3 linked regions of the Tamandua tetradactyla genome follow. The protein of the gene in region 3 purifies or fractionates together with the protein of the main gene of each other region. This does not show direct contact. Links are inferred from orthologs where the notes say so. Each region holds a gene or a part of one and is shown on either strand. Other genes may lie near its edges. The genes, in order: PRKAR1A, PRKAR2B and AKAP11.

Region 1 (8,370 bases), on a different chromosome or scaffold from region 3:
AGGGAATTTCATTCAGTTCTCCCCTGCAAAAGAAATCATCATGACGTAGGAAGTGTGTAAATGGTAAACAGGAGAGAGAGTTATAAGGGCACACAAGTCTGCTCTAAGTGAAAGCAAGTAAGTAAAATGAAGAACATCTGACAATCCCTATACACCACTCCTATCCCATGGGAGTGTCCTAATGTCACACAGCAAACCACTGGAGCAAAGGATCTGATTAGCCAACCACCAGAGTAATCAAAATTTTTAAAGGCACAAAATGAACCCTAGGTGAGTCTTTAAAGCAACCTTTTATTCTAGGATCTTTTACCAAACCCCAGCCATAATGATAACACACTTACCCAGTGAAAAAGAAGGAAAATCCTTAGTAGCCAAAAAAAGAAAAAAAAAAAAAAAAAACCTGTACCAAGTAAATTGTAAAAAACTTAGGAAAATGTCAAAACATTTTCTTCATCTGAAATGTTTGTGTAAATGTGAAACTTACATAAACATTTAATAAAATAGAGTTCAGAGAATTTGAACCACCTTGATGTAAAATAAAGTAAAATAATGAACAGCTTACCATGGAATTAAAAGCTTAGTAATTTAACAGCAGGGTCATAAACTCCTTCTCCTAACTTCTAATTACTAAGCAATTAAGATTAGAAGATGGTTCCTTCTATTCTACAACTGAATTCAATACTAATCAGATTTTTCCAATTATAATTGAAAAACTAGTGATATACAACTATAAATGTTAAAGGAGAAAGGAATTCTAGAGTAAGAATTACTCAATTTGTTTTAACAACTTTCATGATAAAGGTCAATAACAAGTAGATTGATAAACAAACCATGAGAAAATTTGTGGCTCCATAACAAACCCATAAATTAGAGGCCACAGAAAAAGAATGATGCTGCTACTTCAGAAACAATTCTAAAAAAAAATGTTTATTTATTTTTGGGTAGATTTATACCAGCCACTTTTCCAGGTCAATCACATGAACTGAGAATCCACTTCAGCATGATTTTCGGTATTTCAAACAATATTGAAGGCCACCTTAGAACAACCATTAATCAGATCTTTTATGCTTCAAAACAGTCTGACATATTTTAGAAATATCAATACATCTATTCAACTGATCAGAGAGATTATTTTTCAAAGATCAGGTCTTTGGCTGCTAGAGATGACAGAACTGGGTCCAAGAGGTAAAAGCGTTTCTTTCTGTTTAAAACAAGGTAAGGTATTTCAAGACAATACTGGTAAAAAAGAATATGACTGAAAATGTCTCAAGATTAATACAGCCAACATGTGAATCTCTGAATACCCAAACATTATGATCTTAATATTTTTAACGGAATATACCTACATTAACTCTGTACGTATACTTATCTTTACGACCCCAATAACTTAGAAACTCCGGCAAATTACTTAACTACTTTAAAACACGCACTATGCTTTTACACATAAGGACACACTCAGCTCTTTCTTCTGGAAATTCAGTTGCGATAAAATTCGGTTACAAAAACAATTACATGCCAGGAAATATTTAAAATATTCTGAGAAACTGTTCCTGACTCAGACCGCACTCCCTTACACATTTTCTTGGGGTCATCTTGAGGAAGCGTTCGCTTTCCTTCCTCTGCTGAACGGCTCTATCTCTTGTGGCACCACACAGACACCGAGCTGGAGGGGTTAATGGCTATCGCGTATTTTCAAAGGGAAGGACAGAAATGTGCCCTTCGCTTCACTTATGTCACCATGATGACCACAAAACGAAGAAGGGAGGCCCACCTCTCTTCCTTCTTTAGTCGGGGTGTCGAGGAGGTCTCAGGGAAAAAAATCGGGAAAGGGAAGTGGTGGAGGACAAAAGGAAATTTATAAGCCAGGCTATGATCACATCTCATCATGGGGGTGGGGATGGGTGGAGGCTAATCCTGAGAAAGAAAGGGAAAGCGAATGCTGGAAAAGATGGAAGGAGACACAGAAGGCAAGAAAAGAGTTGACGAGTCTCAATATCAGCCATAATGGGAGGGCGGGGGAACGACGATGGCGAATTCCGGTAAAATCGAGCCGCTGACCGTCAGGAAATGGGGGAAGGCTAGCAAGGACGCCGCGGTGCGCGGAGGCGGAGGACACTGGAGCGTCCAGAGCCGAGGAAGGCGGTGGATGGCGGGGGCTGCGGGGGCTGCGGGACCCAGGCGCTGCGGAGACGGAGGGGGGCGGGGGACGCGCGGGCGGGGCGGGAGGGGAGCCCAGCAACCGAGCCAACGCCCCGGCGGCCTGGGGGCCTCGGGGGATGCAGAATGGGAGCCGGGGGGGGGGCGGCCTGGGGCGCAGGGTCTCCGGGGAGGCGCCTGCCGGGCCTGGGAGAAGCAGGGGGTGCGGCCGTCCCCCAGCAGGTCGCTCCCCGAGACGCCATCTTGGATCGGTCCCGCGCTCCCAAACGGGCGAAAGGACGGCAAGGCTCGCTGCGCCGGAGCTCCCGACCGACCCCACTCACCTGAGGCCTAGTGGCAGCGACTACGGAGCTAAGGATGCGAGGCTGAGGCGCGCCGAGCTTCCTCAACGTTTCCCTCCCTGCCGAGCTCCGCTCAGCGACAGCGCCTCCGCTGCAGCGCCACCGGAAACTACCGGGCCTCAGCCAATCAGCGCTTGACTGCTGACGTCAATGCGCCTCGCTCTGGCCAGAGCCGTCGCCTTGGCAACCTTAAAGGCGCAGCGCCAGGGTTCTACCCCCTGCCCCCCTCCTTGAAGGACGCTCGCCCCTCCTCACCCTGGAATCGGTGTCCTTCTGCTCCACTTCTTTGCATCTCTTATCTGCAGCCCTTCCTCAATCCCGTCTCTCCCTCTTACCCACTCTCACTATTCCAGTTTCCCCTCCTTCCTGTTCACCTGCCCTCCCTTACCTGTCCCTCTCTGGACGTCTCAGGTCGCCTTTATTCTTTCTTTTGCTTTCGCTCCCTCTCCGCGTGGCTTCCTTGAGGTTCCCTCTCCCTTCGTCTCCGCTCTCCTCCTCTGCTCCCCACTCTCTCCCTCCTGCCTCCCTCGACGTCTCTCCCTTGTCTCCCTCCCTGCAACCCCCCACCGACCCACGTAGGGCGTCTCGGACGACAGATGGGCGACTCCGCCCCGCGGCCCCTGCTCGCGGGGGGGGGGGGGGGGCGCGGGGCCAGGGGCGGGGAGATTCCTGCCATTTCCAGGCGCCGGGGGAGGCCGCGGCCCCGGAGGATCCGCAGCAGCTGCGCCGCGGGCCGAGCGCGGGCGGATGCCTGGGATGCGCACGCTGAGTCGTGCATCCTGTGCCCGGCCAGCGCCGCGCGGGGCTCCGGGGTCCGGCGCGCCATCCGGTCCAGGAAATCTGAGCCGTGCCAGCTCCCTGCTTGGCTGTTGGGCTGCTGTCCCCTTCTCAAGTGCTGTCGTCAGTGGAGGCCACATCGTCCCTATGGACACGGGCACAGGAGAGGACTTTGTCAGGGTCCAAGAACCTTCTAGAATCTGAAATGCTTCCCCCCCCATTATCGTGCCAGCCCGCACACGGTGAGACATAACCGTGCAGATTGTCACATATGCTCGGTGAGCACGCAAGAAATCTCTGCTGCCCGCAAACACTACACTAATGGGTGGGGATTCAGGCAAAAAGCGACTTCTTTCCTCCTTCAGCCATTTCTTGCCATCAGAATACCTGCCCATGGTGGAAGAAAATGGGGGAGAGGAGATCGTTTTAGATATATCAAGTCGCTAGTGTGAATAAAGGCTCTTTGAGGACCTGTATCCAAGTGTCTGGTGGGGGTCTGCTGTGCTTTAGAGCCCTATGCATAAAATACACACCGGATTTAACACGTCATAAAAAATAACGATGTAAAATATGTCCATTTCTACATTGATTACAGGTTGAAATGATAATATTTGGGATATATTAGGTTAAATATCAGAATAATTTCACCTTTGTCATTTATTTTTTTAATAGTAGGTGTTAGAAATATTTAATTATGTATGTGTCTGGTGGTATATTTCTGCTCCATAGAACAGTCCTAGGACACCAACTGCCCCTAAATCCATCAGACCTAGGGAAGGGTCCAGCTGCCCAGAGTGTTTTATTTAGTTAAGGTTACCCTACTTGCTGACGTCCAGGGGGAGCAAATGTAATTTGAAAAGGGCCCAGGGCCGGGCGGTTGACCTCCCCTATGTTGACCTTTGGCCTTTTCCCAGGCACTGCTTTAACCAAATGGGCGCTGGTGGAATGGGGCATTAAAGGCACAGCCTCCATCAGAACGGATTTCCGCCTTGTCAGTACGAAGAGGAGGCTGACAAACTGAACCTTAGGCTGGCAAGCAGGAGAGGGAATTCCAAAGCCCTGAGCAGGCCCAGTTGTGTCCTCGGAAGAAAACATTGCGCTTATATAAATCTGAGTTTCATCTCAGGCTCTGCCATCTCCGGTAATTGATTTAATCTCCATGAGCCTCAGTTTCCTCAGTTGTAAAAGGAAACGCAGGACTAAAGTAAAATGAACTAAAGAAGATAATAACGGCAAACATAGCTATAGCCCTCAGCAAGTTCTAGGCACAGCCTAAGTGCTATTATTACACATAATTCATTTAATCCTCATAATTACACTATGATGTAGGAATTATCATTAGGGAATGAACAGGAGCCATGGAGAAGTTAAATGACTTTGCTCAAGTTCACACTGGTAGCATGGCCCAAGCCCAGGCAGTGATCTTAATTGCCCCCTTTGCAGTATGTAGGTAAATAAATTGCCTCACACAAGTGTGAGGTGCATTAAATAAATGTTAGTTTACTTCCCACTTCGTCCTCCCCCAATCCTAGAGAAGTACCCAAACCCCAAGGTTGAGACTGAGTTGTACTGTGTCCCACCACTCATGTTCCTTCCCGAGGCAGTCAAACAGAATAAGGAAAAGAAGCAAGTTCATGACATGGGGGGTGGGGGGCGGGCTTTGAGTGGCAGCTGCTCCCTTGCTAAGGCCTGGATGTGTGTCTCTATTCAGCTGCGTTTAGGCACCTGTCCAGCCACAGGCAGCTTCCATGTGTCAGTCCAGTTCAGCTTTGTTCCAGCTGCCAAACCCTCATATGCCGGGGCTTTAAAAGACAAAAAGGGAAACGGCAGTAGGTACTGAGCATGGGGAAGCTCACCGAGACAGCTGTTCTGAAACACCAAACTGCCTCAGTGGGTTCCAAAAGGTGTGAATGGCCTTTCTATGCCTTTTCGAGAATACCAACTTGTAAATTACACTTCAGAAATTACAATTATTCCACTGTTGTTTCTGTATGGTTCCCTCCTCCAGAGGCCTTCTGACCAAAATGCGAAGGTCTGTTGGCCTTTCCTTTGGCCTGGGTCCTAGAAGAGTTCCAAACATAAGTTTTTAGGGCAGTGAGATTGTAAGTAAATTTTTCTCTGTTCAAGTTCTCTAATTGCTGTTATGATGTTTGTGCAACAATAGAAAAAAAGATCTAAGGAAAATAAACATCAGTGGTACATTTAGTAAGCAGAAGCAGAATGAAGAGAACAAAAAGATAAAAGGAACACTTTGGTGGCTCATCTCGTAGTGTTTCTTGTGCCTAAAGTTTCTGTGGGCTCAGAATAGAGCCACGTATTTCAGATTCCACAGAGAGCCTTTCATTGTGCCTGCCCTTCTGTGGTATGTGCTGGTGCTGAGTTGTCAATCATCCCAGGGGACCCAAAGTTGTGACATCATACGTAAACCATTTCCAGCAAACCATCAAAGGCCCAGAGTCTTCTTACTTTTCTCAATGGTATATGGTTCTCTAGACTGAGTAGGAGTAGTTTATCTTGAGGACTAATTGAAAATATTAACGAAGAAACCAGAAGGATGACGATCTTCAGTCTGACACTGAAGAGTGCTCCAAGCAAAATTACCTTCATCCCAAGATAGACGATGAAATCCGCAGTGTTCAAAGGAGAGTGAATGAAGTCAAGTTCAGATATTTGTATGAATCTATGCTGACATGTTCTTCCTCTGGATACCGACCTCCTATGCTTATGCTGTTTAACCAATGTTAACGGCTTGTTAGTAGGTCACAGATTTGAAGCTTTAAAATATATAGTGATGGGGGCAACGGTGGCTCAGTGGCAGAGCTCCTGCCTGCCATGCTGGAGACTCGGGTTTGATTCCCGGTGCCTGCCCATGTAAAAAATAAATATATAAATATATATAGTGATGGGCCTATCACCCATTCAAACCTTTTGAGGTTTACCATGAATGGTAGGCACATTGACCAAGAGAAAGAAATGTATTTATCTCTGTCAAACTGACAAAGTGAACAATCTTGTTAATTTACCACTCTCAGCACTTCAATGACCGCACACCTTTATCTCTTCCGGGAAGTCTTAATATTTTTTTGGACTTGGTCACCTTGAGGAAGCTCATGAAAACAATGGGCTTTCCCCCCAGAAAATATGCAAATGCACATCAGGGGGTTCACAGATCCTAAAGCCCATCCGTGCATGGACTCAGAATCCCTTTAAAAAATGAAGTTCCTGAGGATCCATATGTTAGGTACTAGGTGTCAGGGACACAGAGGTGAATGAACCAGGCCCCACACACAAAAGCTCACGGTCTTGGGGGGCCACTACGGACACAGGTACTTTCAATAGAGGGAGTCCTACTATGGGGGTGTGGAGGGGGAGCTAGAGGTGTGCACTGAAAGGACTTATAGGGCCAAGGCATGCTGCCCAACCCAGGACCCAGTGGTACCCATCATACCTGGCTGGTATTTCAGGAAGAGGAACTGAATGAGCAACAGACAGCACGGGGTGTTGTTGTTTTTTTTAATTTTTTTTGTGTGTGTGAAATATAGCATATATACGATAAAGTAATAAATTTCCAAGCACATTTTAACAGGTAGTTATAGAACCAATTTCAAACTTTGCTATGGGTTACAGTTCCACGGTTTTTTCATTTTTTCTTCTAGCGGCTCCAAGACACTGGAGACCAAAAGAAATATCAAGGTAATGATTCAGCAGTCATGCTTATTTGTTAAATCCTATCTTCTCTGTTATAATCCTCCTCTTTTTTTTCTTTCTGTTTTTGTGAAAAATAGCATATATTCCAAAAAAAAACAATCAATTTCAAAGTACATCATAACAATTAGTTGTAGAACAGATTTCAGAGTTTGGTTTGGATTACAATTCTACAATTTTAGGGTTTTATTTCTAGCTGCTCTAAGGTACTGAAGGCTGAAAGAAATAGCAATATAATGATTCTGCACTCATACTCATTTGTTAAACCCTACCTTGTCTGTATAACTCCACTTGTCACCTTTGATCTTTCTCCCTCTCTCTAGGAGTGTTTGGGCTATGCCCATTCTAACTTTTCCGTGTTGGAAGGTTATTATTCTGTCAATAATATGGGATGGGGGATGGAACTAGTTGATGTTCTGAAAAGGCTAGCCCTCTGCATTTCAGGACCCATCTGGAGGTTGTAGGTTTCTGGAAAGTTAACCTAGTGCATGGAACTTTTGTAGAATCTTATATAATGTCCTAGGTATTCTTTAGGCTTGGTAGGAATGGTTTTCGTTGGGGGTTGGCAAATTATGATAGGTAGCAATGTCTAACTGAAGCTTGCATAAAAGTGACCTCCAGTGTAGCCTCTCCACTCTATTTAAACTCTCTCAGCCACTGATACCTTATTTGTTACACTTCTTTTCCCTCTTTTGATCAGGATGGCCTTGTTGATCCCACAATGCCAGAGCCAGACTCATCCCTGGGAGTCATCTCCCATGCCGCCAGGGAGACTTTCATTCCTGGATGTCATGCTCCATGTAGGGGGGAGGGCAATGGTTTCACAAGACAGCACGGAATTTTAAAGAAAATATCCTTCCATGCAAGGAGACTTGTGAGAAGGTTGTTGCGATGGTCCAAGTGAGAGATGGTGGTGGCTTAAACTAAAAAAATTTCAGCACAGGTGACTGGAGCTTGTGATCGATGAGGATGATGAGGGAGAGAAGGGACTCAAAGATGACACTGAGGTTCTGACTCAGGCAATGAATCATTGCTGCTGCCATTTACCAATTCAGAGAACAGGCGGTGCAGTGAGGGTGGGTGAAATGGGGGATGCGTTGAGTTTGAGGGTCTGTGGGACATCCATGCAGAGCTGTGTGTTTTCTGGCTAGTGGGAAACTCAAGAAAGAGCAAAGGGCTTTTGAAATCATCAGCATATTGATTACAAAATCCTTGAATTGAATGAAATCTCTTCTAGGAGAAAGGGCTGAGAGGGAAGAGAAGGTGGCTAAGTACAGAAAGATGAGGAAATTCAACAATGAAATAAAAAGGAAGGAAGCAGATCCAGAAGCTACATTGAGAAAGTAGGCAGCAAACTAGGAGAGAAGGAGATGACAGAAAGATAGCACTG
Region 2 (7,862 bases), on a different chromosome or scaffold from region 3:
GAATTTGGTATAAATACAAATACTATGGCCCCACTTCAGATATAAAGAATCTAAAACTCTGAGAGTGGGGCCTGGAAATCCATATTTCAACAAGTCTGCTAGGTGATTCTGATGCACACTAAATTTGGGGATTTTCTAGAGACAACCCTTCACAAAGCTGCATTTAGAGATTAAAAATTTTACTTAGTGTTAGGCCAAATGTCTAAAAGATTTTCAGACTATGAATTGACCATCTTTTAGTAGATATGTTACATGGTGCCTGAACCATCCATAGACTCCACGTTTGGGTCTTTTCTCTTTGCTGAAGAGGCAGATCTTGTTCTGTACTACCTAATCACTAAAGGGGATTTATTAAATTACAAGTTTACAGTTCTAAGGCCATAAAAAATCCAAATTAAGGCAGCCAGTGACCAGATGGAAAGAGTCTGGGTCTCTGACAATCATGAAGCCACTATACCAGCCCTGATATGCCTACATTTACATTGCAGAGAAATAAACTTCTATCTTGTTTGAGCCACTGTATTTGCATTTTCTGCCATCTACAGACAACGTTAATCGTAATTGAAACTAGTATGATCATAAAAAAAGAGAGGTGATACAAATTAATCTTAGATAACAGGATCTCTAAAGATAATAATGCATAAATGATGGAGATCTTGACTCTGAAGAAAGGGCCGGATGGCGTTTGGATTTCCTCTGTCACATGGCTGGCATCTGCTGGTCCTTTCTTAGCTTGACTGAGAAAACTCTGGATTTCTTTTCTTAGCTTTCCTTGGCTCTTTCCTTGGCTCTTTCCTGGTTCTGGTTTTTTAGTACCATGGTCCTTGCTTAACATCTCATGGGAAGGTACATGGCAATGTCTGCTGGGCTCTGAATCTCCAAACATCTGTGTCTGTGTCAGCTCTGAACTATTTCTGTGTGAGCTCTTTTAAGGACTCCAGTAAATTAATTAAGACCCACCTTGAATGGGTGGAGTCACATCTCCACCTAATCAAAGGATCACACCCACAATCTGGTGTGTCACATTTCCATGAAAGTAATTTCATCAAATGGTCACACCCTACAATATTGAATCAGGATTGGAAGAATAAGGTTTTTCTGGGGTTACATAACAGTTTCAAACCAGCACAATGGCTAAAAGTATATAAAACTGAACTGATGGCCATAGTGGCCCTGTGCCAGCACAAACCAATATCCTTTCAATTTTCTACCTTTGTGTGTGTGTGTAACCTTGAGCGGGTATATATATATATATATTTCTTGTACCAAAGAGACTTGATCAGGATACATATGAACAACTGATAGGAAACACTGTATGAGTGATTGGTCATAGTTATTACCAGCCATTGTTAAGGCTGCACAAACCAACAGCTTGTCCATGTATATAGATTTGTTTTGGCAACTTCATGTTGCCAAAGACAAGTTGATATCTCTGTCCGGTATCTGCTTAATTTCCCATGTGTGAAAACAAATTTGGTAGTACTCTTATTTCATCCCAACTCTGAGCCCTTGGAGTTCTCTAGCAATGCTTCCAGTGTGATTCTCTGAGAAACTAGTGCAAATTGCTTTGTAAGTCAACAAACAAGGAATCGGTATCATTGATGTTCTTTTAAAGAATTCATGAAGAATAGTCCTCATAAACCACTGTCATTGTACCTCAAGGTTCAAAAGGAAATGTTTTGAAAACAAAAGTAAAAGAAATCATACAATAGCACTGAAAAGGTTATGTGGTAGTGAATAAATCCAGAATATAATTTGAAAAGAAAATGTCGGCTCCAAGAATAATATTAACATAATGGGAATATCGGGATCAAGATTTATTTCTTCAGGTCATGGTTATTGATTTGAGAATTTACACAAATAAATTGTTAGAGAAGTATTTGCAAAGATGTTTAAATCCAACATGTTTTCTTTTAACATTACACTATTGTAGAATATCCCAGACTGGGCGAGGGCATTATTGGTCATCTAATCCAATTATATATTTCATGCTCGAGTCACTGGTATAATACTAAGGAAATGAGAGTCATACAAACCCTGGCATTGTGGTTGATGGCTGAGAGCCATTTACCATTGCTCATATATTTAGTTAACAAAAGGAATAAAATTCATTTTGAAACACAAAATGAAGGATACAGCTTTAAAATATGGCTCTGGTAAATGTTTGGAAAAGCAATGTTTTTTCTTCTGTCATTTATGGTGGAAAAGGTGTTTAAATTTGTGATGGAGATTGAAAATTTTCCCTAGATTTGGTTCTCCTTTATACTCATATATTTACTGGGAACATGACCACTCAAAATGAATATTACATTCCCAAACTTTCCTTAGAGTCATGTGTCTCAGCTACTATTGCCATATAACAAATTACCCCTAAATTTAGAGGCTTACAACAACCTTCTTTTTTTTTTTTTTTAATGCTTATGGATTTTGTGGGTCAGAATTTTGGACAGGATACTGCTGGGCTTGCTGCTTCTATCATGTTGGCATGACTTCTATCATGCTTTACTGACTGAAGCAGTTAGAAACCTATCCAAATTCAAGAGGAAGGGAATTAGACTTAAACTTCTGATGGAGGAATGGCAAGGTTGCATTGTAGAAGAGCACATGGGACAGGAGATATTGTCACAGTCATCTTTGGAAAATTTTGCAATTTACCACACCAGAGGTGTAACCATGTGACTAAGTTCCAGCCAAAAGGATACAAGGAATTGGTGTGTTTAATTTCTGGGAAAAGTCTTTAAAATGTGCGGGTGTATGTGTGTGGGGGGGGCTTTGCAATGGGAAGGTTCCCTTCTCTCTTCCACTTTCCTCTTGGCTGAAATATGAAGATGATTGGAATTGGAGAAGCTATTTTGGACCACAAAGTAGAAGCCACAAATAGGATTACACAGCAATGAGTTGGAAAGAGTCTGGGTCTCTGACAATTATAAAGCCACCATATCAGCCCTGATATGCTTACATTTCCATTACAGAGAAATAAACTTCTATCTTGTTTGAACCACCGTATTTACATTTTCTGCCATCTACACACAATGCTAATCTTAACTGAAACATGTATGATCATAAATGAAGAGAGATGATGCAAATTAATCTTAGATAACTGGATCTGTAAAGATGATAATGCTTATATGATGGAGATTTTGACCAATGTACTCAAAGCAGTGAGATGTAAATATCATGATATTTAATAAAAGCTTATTATCTTCAAACGCCTGGCACTTATAATTAGAGGCATTTACTACGGTTTAAAATAACATATTATTATGAGGTTAATAAGAAATGGGAATGGAGAAATACATTTCCTGAAGGAGTGACTATAAGTTGAATCATAAACAAAGAGTTAATATGAAGATGCATTTTTATAAAAAGGACTAGTTTGTTCATCTTGTTTTCTACTTTTTTAGTTTTCTGAGTCATGTATTTACTCTTTTATGTGGGTGAATACATAAACCAGAATGGGTACTTGAGCTCATTTTTGAGCTATTTTATTTACAATAAAATATTGTTTTTGAGCTATTTTATTTACAATTTTTATAGTGGTCACTATAAAAAATGAAGTATATGCATTTGAATAGCTTTTAAACAGCAAAAGATACTTCTAATTAAAAATTTCAGTCAGGGACTTCTACTTTTCAAGCATATTTACTTGTAGCTATTTCTCTTTATATTGAAGTATTCCTATTTCTGGAGATAAAATTCAAAATCACTCAAAGCAAAAGGGAAAGTCTTAAAATAAATTTTAAATGAGAGCCTAATCAGGCAATGCTTTTTTGCTTTAGGACCATCTGTCCTGTTTATGACATTTTATTCAAATTGCTATACTATTCTGTATAAAGAATATCAACTAACTTTGATAAGTGCATCACAAAAAATGATGCATTTGTCTCAATAAATAGTAGCAAACACACTGCGTGCACAATGGAATAAAATCAGCAAAGCTAAAAAAAAGGTAGACGATGACCAGCGAAAGTTTGGATAAAATGTGGCGAAAGAAAAAGATGAATATTATATTTCTGTCTAAAATAGAACCAGCACTACTATGTGAATTTAAACAAAAGATATTACCAAGATTTATCAATACAACTAAATTATAGGAGAAAAAAAAAATGCCACTACCGAGCTGAAGGCTGAAGTTTCAGGGTAAATCGCTTGTCAGCAGGTCCGGTTGGGTTCACTCGTGAATGACGTGTGGGAATGCTGGCGCGTGAACTGCCCCCTCCGGGGTGTGGACAGGTGGAAGGTGTGACTCGCAGGAGGACCCGGAGCAGTGTTGAGTGGGGACCCCGCACCGGGCACGTTTGCCGCAGAGCGCCACCCGCCCGCCCGGGCCCCGATAGCGCCCTCGACCCTGAGGCTATCCGAGGGACTGGAGCGCGGCGCTCGCCCGCGGTGGTTGCCATGGTTTCTGGAATCACGTGGGCGCGCGTTTTGTTTCCCCCTCCCGCGCGCCTCTGCGAAGCGGGGGCGGGGCGGCTCCGGCTGGGAGAGGAGCGGCGGCGGCGGGAGCGGGAGGAGCCGGAGATGCTGCCAGCCCTCGGCGGGCTTTGCTCGCTCAGCCGCCGCCGCCACCGCCGCACCGAGCTGTTGTAGCCGCGGACCAGGCCAGCCCTGCCGCCGGGGTCCTGTGCGCTGCGCGTAGCTGGTAGCGCAGCTAGCACCCTCCGCGCGCTCTCGGCGGCCGCGGGGCCCAAGGTCCTACTCGGGAGAAGGCGAGGGCGGCGGCCGCCCCCGTTGGGCAGCCCGGGGACGCGGCGCCCAGGCGCCCGCCGCCCCGGAGGCAGGATGAGCATCGAGATCCCGGCGGGGCTGACGGAGCTGCTCCAGGGCTTCACGGTGGAGGTGCTGAGGCACCAACCCGCGGACCTGCTGGAGTTCGCGCTGCAGCACTTCACGCGCCTGCAGCAGGAAAACGAGCGGAAAAGCGCCGCACGCTTCAGCCATGAGGGCAGGATCTGGGGAGACGCGGGTGCCGCCGGGGGCGGCACCCCCAGCAAGGGAGTCAACTTCGCGGAGGAACCCGTGCACACCGACTCCGAAAACGGGGAGGAGAACGACGAGGAGGAGGCCACGGACGCAGGAGCATTCAGTGGTGAGGACGGGATCCCCTCCACGACCCCCGAGTTCCTTCACCTCCTGTACCGTTCTTCGCTTTACTCCTTAATCCTGCAGCTTTCTTCACCTACCTCTCCCTGCATTCTCCACCTGCGCTACCTTCTCATCTCGCCCACCCGCTACCTTCTCATCTCGCCCACCCCCTCAGTATCCATTTCTGTCTCTCCCATTCGCCCACCTTCCTACCCTACTCTCTTGTCATGCTCTACCTTTCTTTTCCTCCTCTGAAGGTGAAGGAGCTGAAAGGTTACGGTTCCCAATGACCATCTGCCCCCTCTCATCCAGAGCAACAGCTGCAGAGATGGGCCGGTTTGGTGTGGGCATCTCATGGGAAGACAGTTTTCTTTGTGGCTGAGGATATTTCGCTTGACGGATAGATTGTGCATAGAGCAAACTGGTTGGCCCCCTTGGTATTCTTTTTCAGTGCTGATATTTCTTAATGGAGCGTCCAAAGAGAAAAGGCGGGGGGTGTTAAATTTGATTGGTTTTACCGTGTTAGACGTAGAATCACTAAAAGAAACATGAAATGGGACTCCATGGGGCAGAACAAAATTTATGGTAATAACTTTGACATTCTTGGAAACAAAGTAATCTGTTATTTTTGGACATACAACAAAGGAACCTGCTTAGCCTGCAATCCATCAGGTCTTTGGCATGAGGAAACGGGCTAATGTTCTGTTTTTTTATTTAAAACACATATTGAACGATTTGGTGCTTTTGAAAAAAATTAATTTTTAAGTACATAAAAAATAGTGAATGGAATTCTGAAGCCTTGTTAGTTGTCTTTAAAATTAAAAGCTAGTGAATAATTGTAAGCACTATGCCAGACACTGAAGCTAAAAAGAATGAATGGGAAATAAGGAATTTTCTCAAATAGCTGCTCCTTTAAGTCCCACCCCTTCTGTTACACCCTACACCCACCCCGGAACACGCAGAAACACACATAGACACACACACATCCTCCTTTATTAATGCATGACTAAATCCCACCTTTTTTGGCATTCTCAAACTACAACACTATGGTGTGTAAATGTGCAAGTGTTTTTCTCTTTGTGGTTGTAAGGCAAACATGCAGGCTTTTATTTATTTATTTGGCTTGTGGTTTGTTGCAGAGCATTTCATATAATAAAAGCATTTAAGGTGTCATTTCATCTCCTTTTGTATGTTCTTAGGAATATGCTTCTTTTCTTTGCAGAAGCACGTGTTGAAATGGCCTTTAAAAATATATTTTTTGCTTGTCTAAAACATTCACACAAACCCTGAAAATTAGTGCTCTATGAGGAATAAAGTCAGGTAGTTACTTTTAGATTTTAATTTTATGTATTTTAGTATTTCCCCAGATAGGGTAATCTTAGTCTTAATTGTTCTTTTTGCATAAGAAATTAGCAAATGCTTTTTTTTTCCCACTAGAAACAAGAGAAAGATAACAGAAAATGTATTTTAAAGAGATGGAAAGAAGCCAATAATGGTTGATAAAAGGGAGAGGAGCCTGATACTTATCTCCTGACACACCCACACATGCATGTGCATCTATACACACACATACACACAGGGGAAAAAACTAGTTTACCAGATTGGAGGGATCTAGGAACTGAGTGAATCAGTAAAAAACCTCTGTACGTTTAATATGATATGTTGTTTGTATGACTAATAATATTTTGTTTGTTGTTTTTGGAGGGTTTTGCATTGATGATTCTATTTTTTTCTTACAATAATGGATATTGTACACAGAACAAGTTCTATTTCTGTGTGCAGGTGAAGAAATAAGCTGTTGACTTTAAAGCAGCAGAGATCATTGTATATGTGTTTATATTCTCCAAGTTACCTTTACTGTAAAAATTACTCAATTTGAGTTTTAATAGATATTTGTTGACCCACTGCACTCTTTATTCCCTAGTCTCTGCTCCCCTGGGAATTTAAAACTTTTTTTATTTCAACCAAATTCAGTTTGATCATAATCCACTGCACGTATCAGTGTACGTATAAATGCATAACTGAACTCTGACAACAGTACCTCCCTCTGCTAAGTGTAGTACTTTCTAATATTATCTATTCTGATCAGTTCTCTCCTTCTAAACAGTCAATTATGTTGAGACCCACAGTTTAAAAAAATAATAATAGGCTACAAAGGGGTTGGCAAAGTTTTTTCTAAAGAGCCAGATAGTAAATATTTTAGACTTTGTGGGTCTGTGGCTTCAGTCGCTTATTCTTCTTTGTGTCGAGGCCATAGTTTGCCTGGTCAAACCCTGGTCAAAGGGGGAAAAAAGTCAAAATGGTTCCACAGGGGAAAAAGATAGAAATGACCCTAGAATTTATAAGTCTGTCAATTTAAAGTCTTTACCTAGAAAGACCAAAACACTAAAAACACCAGTTATACTGTATAATTCTCCTGGCATAGCAAAGAACAAGAACTGGAAGCACACAAGATCTGCTTTATCAATAATTTTTCAATTTTAAGTATGCATACTTGAGGAAGTTAGATTCTGAAGTGAGTATTCACTGGCACCATTCTTAGAGAGCTTTTTAAAATAGGTTAGGGTGGACCATTGAATTTATTTTTTTAACACATTCCTGGTCATTTTGATATAGGTAGTTTCTTGACCATACTTTGAGAAGCATTGGAAGATCAACATATAGTGATAAATTAATATCTTCTTATCTTATTAACAAAAAATAATAGCTGCCATTTATTAACATTCTATGCGTGCCAAGCACTGACTAAACACACTTTAATTCCTTATTCCAGCTTT
Region 3 (7,849 bases):
AAATTGTATTTTTTTTTACCACTTCAATCTTATATTTCCATTTTATTTCTCCCTACAGAATTTTATCCTAACAGAATTTATACTTGAAGCTTTTTTATTGATCACCCCATTATAAAAAAATAGATATAAAAATAAGTTAAAGTAAAAAGACTTTTTAATTTTCTATCAGTGGAAGGCTCTAACATGCTAGAATCACCTTCTGGATTGTTAACCCTACACCTACTATTAGAATACTGGCGCACAAAACAACATCAATATGGTATAAAGTCTGATAATTATTAAGTATAACAAATTTTATTGAAAGTACTTTTCTTATGAGAAGGAAGTGGCTTTCAAAAAATTAGTTCATTTATCCACAGATGAGTATTATTGATTACCATGAGATAGACTCCAACATCAATTCTATTTCTATTCTCCACTCCATACATATAAATTCTGACAAACCATTAACACTTAAGTAAATAGAAAGAATGGAAGTTTCTTACAGCAATCTCACACAATTTTTTGAACTCCTTCCCAGTTAGATGCCAAAAGTACAAAGTAATTGTTCACTAAAAATTAATTATTTTTAGTGGTCTATTTGGAGGAAACTCAATTAGAGTCTCCTTCAATTTCATTAAAAGCCAGTAATTGGAAACCTCTTGACTTGCAAAGACTATTACTTATAGCTGGTATTCTTTCACTTAGAACATCCTTGGTTAATGTGACATACTCAGAAAAGATTGGAGAAATAGTAATACTGTTAATTTTAACACACCTTTGCCTATATAATACATTCTGATAAAAGCATATTTTTTTGAGAAGGAGAACGTTTTACCCATACCTTGACAGATATCGGTCTGAGGACATGCAGAGGCAGGCATGATAGTAGTAGTGAGTTAATATGACTTCATAATGTTCTGAAGACTAGGGATAACTGGATGTCATGAGACTCCATCCCATCTTCATGTTTTCATTCATCAATTCATTCACTCATTTATTCAATGAATAGTTTCTGAGCATCTACTACTTGCCAGGCACTGCTAAGCAAAACAGTTGTGGTCCCTACTCACAGATCCTACAGTCTAGTGGAGGAGGGAGACAGGCATTAGCTAAATAATCTCACAAATAAAAATCATTATAAATTGTGATCATACTTTGAAGAAAAAGTAGGAAGTCTAGATAAGGGGGAAGTTTACTTAATCTGGGGAGTTAGGACAAGAGTTCCCGAGGAAAGGAAAGTAGATTGAAAGTTAAATATTCTTGGATGTTCACAGGCTAATGGGGATGGACAGAGAAAGGACATTCCATACAGTCTGAATAGCTTGTGAGAAGGCTCTGAGGCAGGGAGGGGCTGGCCAAGTTTTGAGGAGCTGAAAGGAGAGTCTGAGGAGCAGAAGGATATGAGAGGAAAAGACAATGTTAGGTAGATCACAAGAACCATAACAAGCCATCAGAAGATTTTAAGCAGGGGAGTGCTACGGTCAGGTGTGAGTTGCTTGAGAAGAAATGCCAACTCTCTGAGGATAATACGTACATACTTCAAACAACAGGAAAAAATGACAAAGTCTAGGAGCAAAGTTATGTCTTAGGAAAAGAAATATGGATTTTTGTGAACTGACTAAATGTAATGTCTTGTATTTTTAAAAATGTTTTTATTGACAACATACACAAACATTCTTAACACACAAACATTCCATATATGGTGTACAATCAATGGCTCACAATATCATCACACAGTAGTATATTCATCACCATGATCAGTTCTTAGAACATTTGCATCACTACAGAAAAAGGAACAAAAAGAAAAAAGAAAACTCATACATACCATACCCCCTACCCCTCCCTCACACTGATCACTAGTATTTCCATCTACTCAATATATTCTAACTTTTTGTTCCCCCTATTATCCGTTTTTTTATTCATATTTTTAATTCATCTGTCCATACCCTAGACAGAGGGAATATCAGATGCAAGGTTTTCACAATCACACAATGTCTTGTATTTTTAAGGGATTAAAAAGAATAAGCAACACCTGCATAAACTTGTACTACAAATGTTCATAGCATTGTTTTTCATTTTAGCCAAAAAGTGGAAACAACCCAAATGCCCATTAACTGATAAAGATAATAAAATGTGGTTTATCAATACAAAAGAATTTTATTGGAGAATAAAAAGGAATACAGACACATGCTACAACATGGATGACCCTTGAAAACATTATACTAAGTGAAAGACATAAAAGACGATATAATGCATGATGCCATTTATATGAAATGTATAGAATAGGCAAATTTATGGAGCCATAAAGTAGACTAGTGGTTGCTTAAGCCTGGGAGTGGTTGAGGGATTGACTGCTAATAGGTACCAGGTTTCTTTTAGGCTGGACAAACGGTTCTAAAGTTAGATTGTGGTGATGGTTGCACACTTCTGAATATACTAGAGAACATTTAATTGCACACTTTAAATGGGTAAATTGTAAGGTATGTGAATTCTATCTCAATAAAGCTTTTTTTTTTAAAGAAAATTTTAAAAGCAACTGGAGCTAGGGACATCCGTAGAAATGAGTCTCATTTCTTCATATTCTCTTGACTCCAAAGAACTGTAGAAGGAGAGAACACCATGACTGTCCTGCTGGACTGAGTTGGGGGAATTTATGCCTCTTACTTGAATGGTAGAGTTGAACTCCACTGATCATCTAAATTAACAATACTAAGCAGCTGTTTCAGTTAATCATTAATGAGGGCTCTAAAAGAGACTCAAAAAAAAAGTGCCTGATTAGCATTTCAAAAGAATGGTCTTAATTTGTTGAAATACTTTTTTCTTTCTTTCTTGTTTTTTTTTGTTTTATCATTCTCCCTTTTAAAAAATGACCTGTTTCTTGATTTCTTGCTCTCATTAAAATTGATATTGTCTCCGATTTTTTTGACATTTATTTTCCATTTACTTCTTTAAACTCTGATTAGGAACATGTGAATGATAATTCATAAAATAATACTTAGGTTTAAAATAGCTACAGAGAAAGGGAATATGAGGTTGAGCAGGTGGCAATGCTTACGTTTTCACACTCTGAGGTGGCCAAGGTTTCTTAGGGAAGTATTCCTGGTATCTGTATTAATCAGTTTCATAATTCCTCAGCTGGTGTGCGTGTGTCTAGTTTCATTTGGCTTGTGCTGCTGGCTCTGTTAGATTTTTATAAAAATTCATTGCACTTTCCTTTCCAGCTTCCGTCCTACTGGTGTGTACTTGCCAAAGTGTAACCAAGGCTTCACCCTGCTGCCGGTAGGCCAGTTAGAGTGCCTTGTTTTATGCATGAGGAAGCTGAGACTCAGGGAAGATAAGATCCTCTGATTTAGTTGCGTCACTAGTTAATGACAGGGCATGGAGTTGGAACTCAAATATTCAGATTCCTGTTTCTTGTAGTTGCACACTCTTGATTTTCCAACCTTCAACCTCAAACTTTTAAAATCATACACTTAGGAACAAGTACCTACATAGAACATCACTTTATGTTCCTGTATCTTAGAATTGACCTGTGCGGGAATCTGCGCGGAGGGAAAAAAATCAGGGTAAAAAATGGCTTTTTTTTTTTTTTTTGGTTGCTACTTGTTGCAAGTAATAATAAAAAAAAGTCCCCACTTTTTCTCCTTTTTTAAATACCAATAAGTCATGCTTTATCAATGCGTTTTAAACAAAAGTTAGGAAATAACACCAGGACTTCTAATCTGAAGGTTTGTAAAAGAGGAATGTCAAGGTCATTGGAAATTAAGATTGTCACCAGTGGCTGTCACCCAGACTACAAATCTTCGAATTGATCTCCCTGCATTCTGCTCTGGGCGCCTTAAGATCCATTCTCTGCTAGAAAGAGCTTCTGAAAAAATGTAAACCCTACTTAAAACTCAAAAATGCTTTCCATTCTTTCTTGACCTACAAAGCCCTACAGGATCTGCCTCATGTTTACCCCTCCAAGCTCATTTCCTCTTTCTCATTTTTTCCTCCTCAAACCTACTAGAACAAGTCCCAATTTAGAGGCTTTGAAAGCTCTTTTCTTGCGTGAAATATCCTTCCCTTTGATTTTTGCATGACTATGATTCAAACTGTTTAACTATCTCCTCCTCAGAAGGGTCGTCCCTATTGTAGCCATCCAATCAGTCACCATCACATCGCCTACTGTAATTTCTTCTCATAGCAATTGACACCGACAGATAATTTTTCTATCTTTTTTCTCCCCTTCAGATACGCGTCCTAGAAATTAGGTTATTACAATACGTCATCATCGTTGCTCAATCGACAGCCTAGAGTCGTGCCTAGATATTTAGGAGCGCCACACAAACAGGGCAGAACATGAACCATAGTGAGGATACGTTTAAAAATATATTTCTCATCCGTCAGGTAATTCCACCCTTGAGGAATAGGTGCCCTAGTCAGGTGCAACCTGACTGAACCGGTCCTTCCATTGTAAGCATTCCGGCTGTTTAAAGCGTATCAGCTTTCCTCTAGGGCCGGGCTTCTCCGTGGCCAAACGCCTTTCGTTCCGCTTTCGTGACCACGTAAAGGAGAAAAGGAGAGCACTAGGGCCCGGTGATCCCTGGATGCTAACTCCTTCGGCTAGGATAGGCCAAGGGCCCGGTGCGCCCTCAGTGGTCCTCCCTAGAGATGCTGGGGAGAAGGGGCGGGGCTACCCTGAAAGGATGGGCCCTTCCTTGGACCGTCAGATCTGGTAGGACTGTCGATTTTGGCAAACCCCGGAGCGTCACAAGAAAGCAAAGTTGACGTTGAGGCTAAGAAGATGCCCCGCTGGCCTAGGGGGTGAGATTAAGGGGTCGAAGGAAAAGACACTAGGCCGAAAAACGAACCTGCGGAGAAGAGCCGAGGCCGAGGCTTTTTGCAAGAGCAAAGGGTTAAACCGTTTCCAAGCCAACGGACTAGGAAGCACGCGAGACGTCCGCCGCAGGTTCGTAGGTCAGCCTCGAGTTTAAAGCTCCCACGGCTGAGCGGGCTTCGGCCAATGAGAGGCCGTCTCCATATCACGTGACTGGCAGGGCCGGTCCGGTGGTTAGCTTCGAGCACGTGGGAAGCGTTCTCCCTGTTGCTTCTTTCCTTTATCGAGAGCCCACCCACTTTTGCGCGGGCTTGGCCACGGTGTTCTTCTCGCGAGAGGCGTGCATTCACGCGAGAGTGGGTGGGAGGCGTGGGCCGTAGGCAGTGCTGCGGTCAGGCGCGGCTGCAGCGGAAACCCAGGGGGTGGGCTGGGCTGGGCTGAGCGGGGGCGGGCCGCTGGGTGGGGAGGGGGAAGGCTGGGAGCCGGTGCGGGAGGGGGCTCCCTCTTGCTCGCCCCATTCGCGCGGCTGGTCGTTGCAGGCCGGTGACATGCTTGTGAGCTGCGGAGGCTGCGGCCCCCAGGTGAGCCGGGAGCGGACCGCCCGCGGCGCAGGCGGCAGGTTGAGGGGGTAACGGCTGTCTTTGGGGTCGGAGTGGATGGAGCCGCTTTGCCGGTGCGTGTTCCGGTTCGGACCCGCTGGAGAGCTGCGTCTTCTCACGGCGGTGGGAGGAGGGCGGTGGGAGCGAGGCGGAGGGAGGACGCCAGAGGCACGCGGCTGTGTGGGGGACCCTGGCGTTCGGGCCGTGGCCGTGGGGCTGCTGTCCCTTTGAATGACAGATTCAGTTTCCATCCCCGGCGTGTTTGTCAGAGTCGGGGCTTCTCTGTGAGTACCGGTGCGTGTGTTTTGTTTGTGTCGTGTGCATTCACGAGGAGCGTATGCACGAGAAGGACATTGCACTTTGTCCCCAGTCAGCGCATCCTTCACTGTCAGAAGCCCTGCGCTCTGGAACCAGGCACAGCCCAAATCTTATGACTGAAACGGAAGGCGTCAAGTAGCTCATCAGAGTACTGACGTTTGGATTTGCTTTAAAATTCTCTCATGCCGTTAGTGGCCTAAATGTAGGCCATCCAGTATTGTGAATGGGCTGTGTATACTTGTATTCCAGGCATCTAAGCTGCCTTCTTTCTCTCTTTCTCTATGTGTAGATATATATATATATATATGCATATAAATACATATATATATATTTGTAGATATAACCAAACTGAAAAAAAAGCTCAAACATTGGCAAAAGGACAAATGACAGTAAAGTCTAAACTCCACAGTGATAGAACTTGTTAGTAATTCTTTTCCTCTCCTCTTAAGCCTTATTAGATTGAGGTGGTTTATCTTGAAATATTGAGGAATTTCAAGATGACAAATATTGCTGAGATGCATATTTAATGGCCTCAGTGCAAAACAAACTTCACATTTCTGATTCTCTTTCTGCTTTTGTAATTATTTGGTCAGTACCTTGCAGAGCACCTAAGTTGTCCCTAGCTTCTCCCCACCTTTATTTTGATATGTCTGAAAATATTCGGAAAATATTGGCTGCTCAGTAATACAGAGAAGATTTTGTTGTAATACCTTGTTTATAATTTTTGAGTAAATGCCCAGCACTTACTGGTGTCAGTTAAAATAGTGCAATTTAATGAATCTTTTTTATTACACAGTCATGCTCATTCAAGCAGTTATTTGTTATTCATGTATTTCTTGAGGCAAAATGTGACCCCAGGGATGACACTGAATTTCATGATTGGTTGTAACTGTAATAGGGTAGTTTTTGAGAGATCAGAGTGTGTAAGAGATTTAGGAAAGAAGTGGATACTTAAGTGGAGTTGGTAACTCACATCTGGTGAATATACTCTGAGTTGGTAACTAGTGACTGGTGCATATATTCGTGTATATCCCCATTGAACTGCACTATTGATGAGAGCCTGCCTAGGGTTATATTCCTAGGACAGTGATATTTCCAAGTTGTTCAGGATATAGGAGTTGCCAAAACCAGAGTGAGAAATTCTCTAGCTTCTGAACTCCCGGAGGAAGTCTAGAAACTAAAGTATTCCCTTGCCTTCAGAGGCTGGAAAAAGCGTAATGCTTCAAAAAAAATTTTTTTTTAAGTTTTAGGAATTACTATCTAGGTAAGGAAATCAAACTAATTCAAATGGTACATTATAGGTAATTCTAAAGGAAATTTCCACTTATAAGTGGGCAGAAGACTTCTCCCGAAACTTGGCCAAACATGAAAAACTTAGGAAATTTGCGAATGGGCAAAAGTACTCAATCTAGATTAGAAAAAGTTCCCTCCCATTCCACCATTGCAGACTGATTCCAGAGTTAGAAAAATAGAAGCTTTGCTGTTCTTTATCTTTTGGTTTCAAACTTTTAGAATGTAGATACTTGTTATTTTGTCTTTCTTTGAAAAGTGTGAGGTAACTTTGGGGAGAGTAGGTTGGTAAGCTGGTTAATTTTTTTCTGTGGAGTGGACTGCATTTTGGTAATAAAGTAAAACACTGGGAGAGAATGGGGGGTAAGGACAGCTGAGGAAAAGATCTGTTTAGCCTGCGCTTAAGTGAAGGGTGTATAAACTGATATGTGGGGAAGAGGAAGGAAAATACATTATCAATTTAAATATAGACTCGGCAGATCCGAATGTCTTCATTCTTCCATTCATCCTTATATATAAAAGTTCATTTTATTTTTAAATATTTACTGGTGTAAAGGCAGTTTTATACAAAGTTAACATTTTTTGATTAGTCTGGGAATGATGCATGGGAAAAAGAAGAAAAATGTTGTCGTGACTTAGGATAGAGATGATGTTCCTTGTGTGAAAATGAGTTTAAGTGTGAAATTTTTGTTTGGGCTCATACAGATTAGTTAATTACCATAACTGTGCTTCATTTTCCTCATCCCTGAAATGATAGTTGTCACACCCACTTCAAAATGTTATTGTGGGGAAAAAAATGTTATTGTGAAGAACCTAAGAGCACATAGTAGCCGCTTACTCT

Evidence for each region.
Region 1: the proteins of AKAP11 (region 3) and PRKAR1A purify together in Homo sapiens (affinity purification with mass spectrometry; 3 studies listed by BioGRID and IntAct, counting the BioPlex papers as one, with this or other methods). This does not show direct contact. The link is inferred for Tamandua tetradactyla from reciprocal best matches to the Homo sapiens genes AKAP11 and PRKAR1A.
Region 2: the proteins of AKAP11 (region 3) and PRKAR2B purify together in Homo sapiens (affinity purification with mass spectrometry; 3 studies listed by BioGRID and IntAct, counting the BioPlex papers as one, with this or other methods). This does not show direct contact. The link is inferred for Tamandua tetradactyla from reciprocal best matches to the Homo sapiens genes AKAP11 and PRKAR2B.

Annotation. Positions count from the first base shown.
Region 1 is NC_135332.1:9,211,086-9,219,455, reverse strand, and holds the start of PRKAR1A (cAMP-dependent protein kinase type I-alpha regulatory subunit), read right to left. Parts: upstream 3,055-8,370; 5' UTR 2,887-3,054; intron 2,638-2,886; exon of another isoform or gene 2,481-2,637; intron 1-2,480. UniProt on the Homo sapiens protein: Regulatory subunit of the cAMP-dependent protein kinases involved in cAMP signaling in cells.
Region 2 is NC_135327.1:145,801,854-145,809,715, forward strand, and holds the start of PRKAR2B (cAMP-dependent protein kinase type II-beta regulatory subunit), read left to right. Parts: upstream 1-4,750; 5' UTR 4,751-4,782; coding exon 4,783-5,089; intron 5,090-7,862. UniProt on the Homo sapiens protein: Regulatory subunit of the cAMP-dependent protein kinases involved in cAMP signaling in cells. Type II regulatory chains mediate membrane association by binding to anchoring proteins, including the MAP2 kinase.
Region 3 is NC_135330.1:116,862,692-116,870,540, reverse strand, and holds the start of AKAP11 (A-kinase anchor protein 11), read left to right. Parts: upstream 1-4,543; 5' UTR 4,544-4,933; intron 4,934-5,269; exon of another isoform or gene 5,270-5,382; intron 5,383-5,455; exon of another isoform or gene 5,456-5,474; intron 5,475-7,849. UniProt on the Homo sapiens protein: Binds to type II regulatory subunits of protein kinase A and anchors/targets them.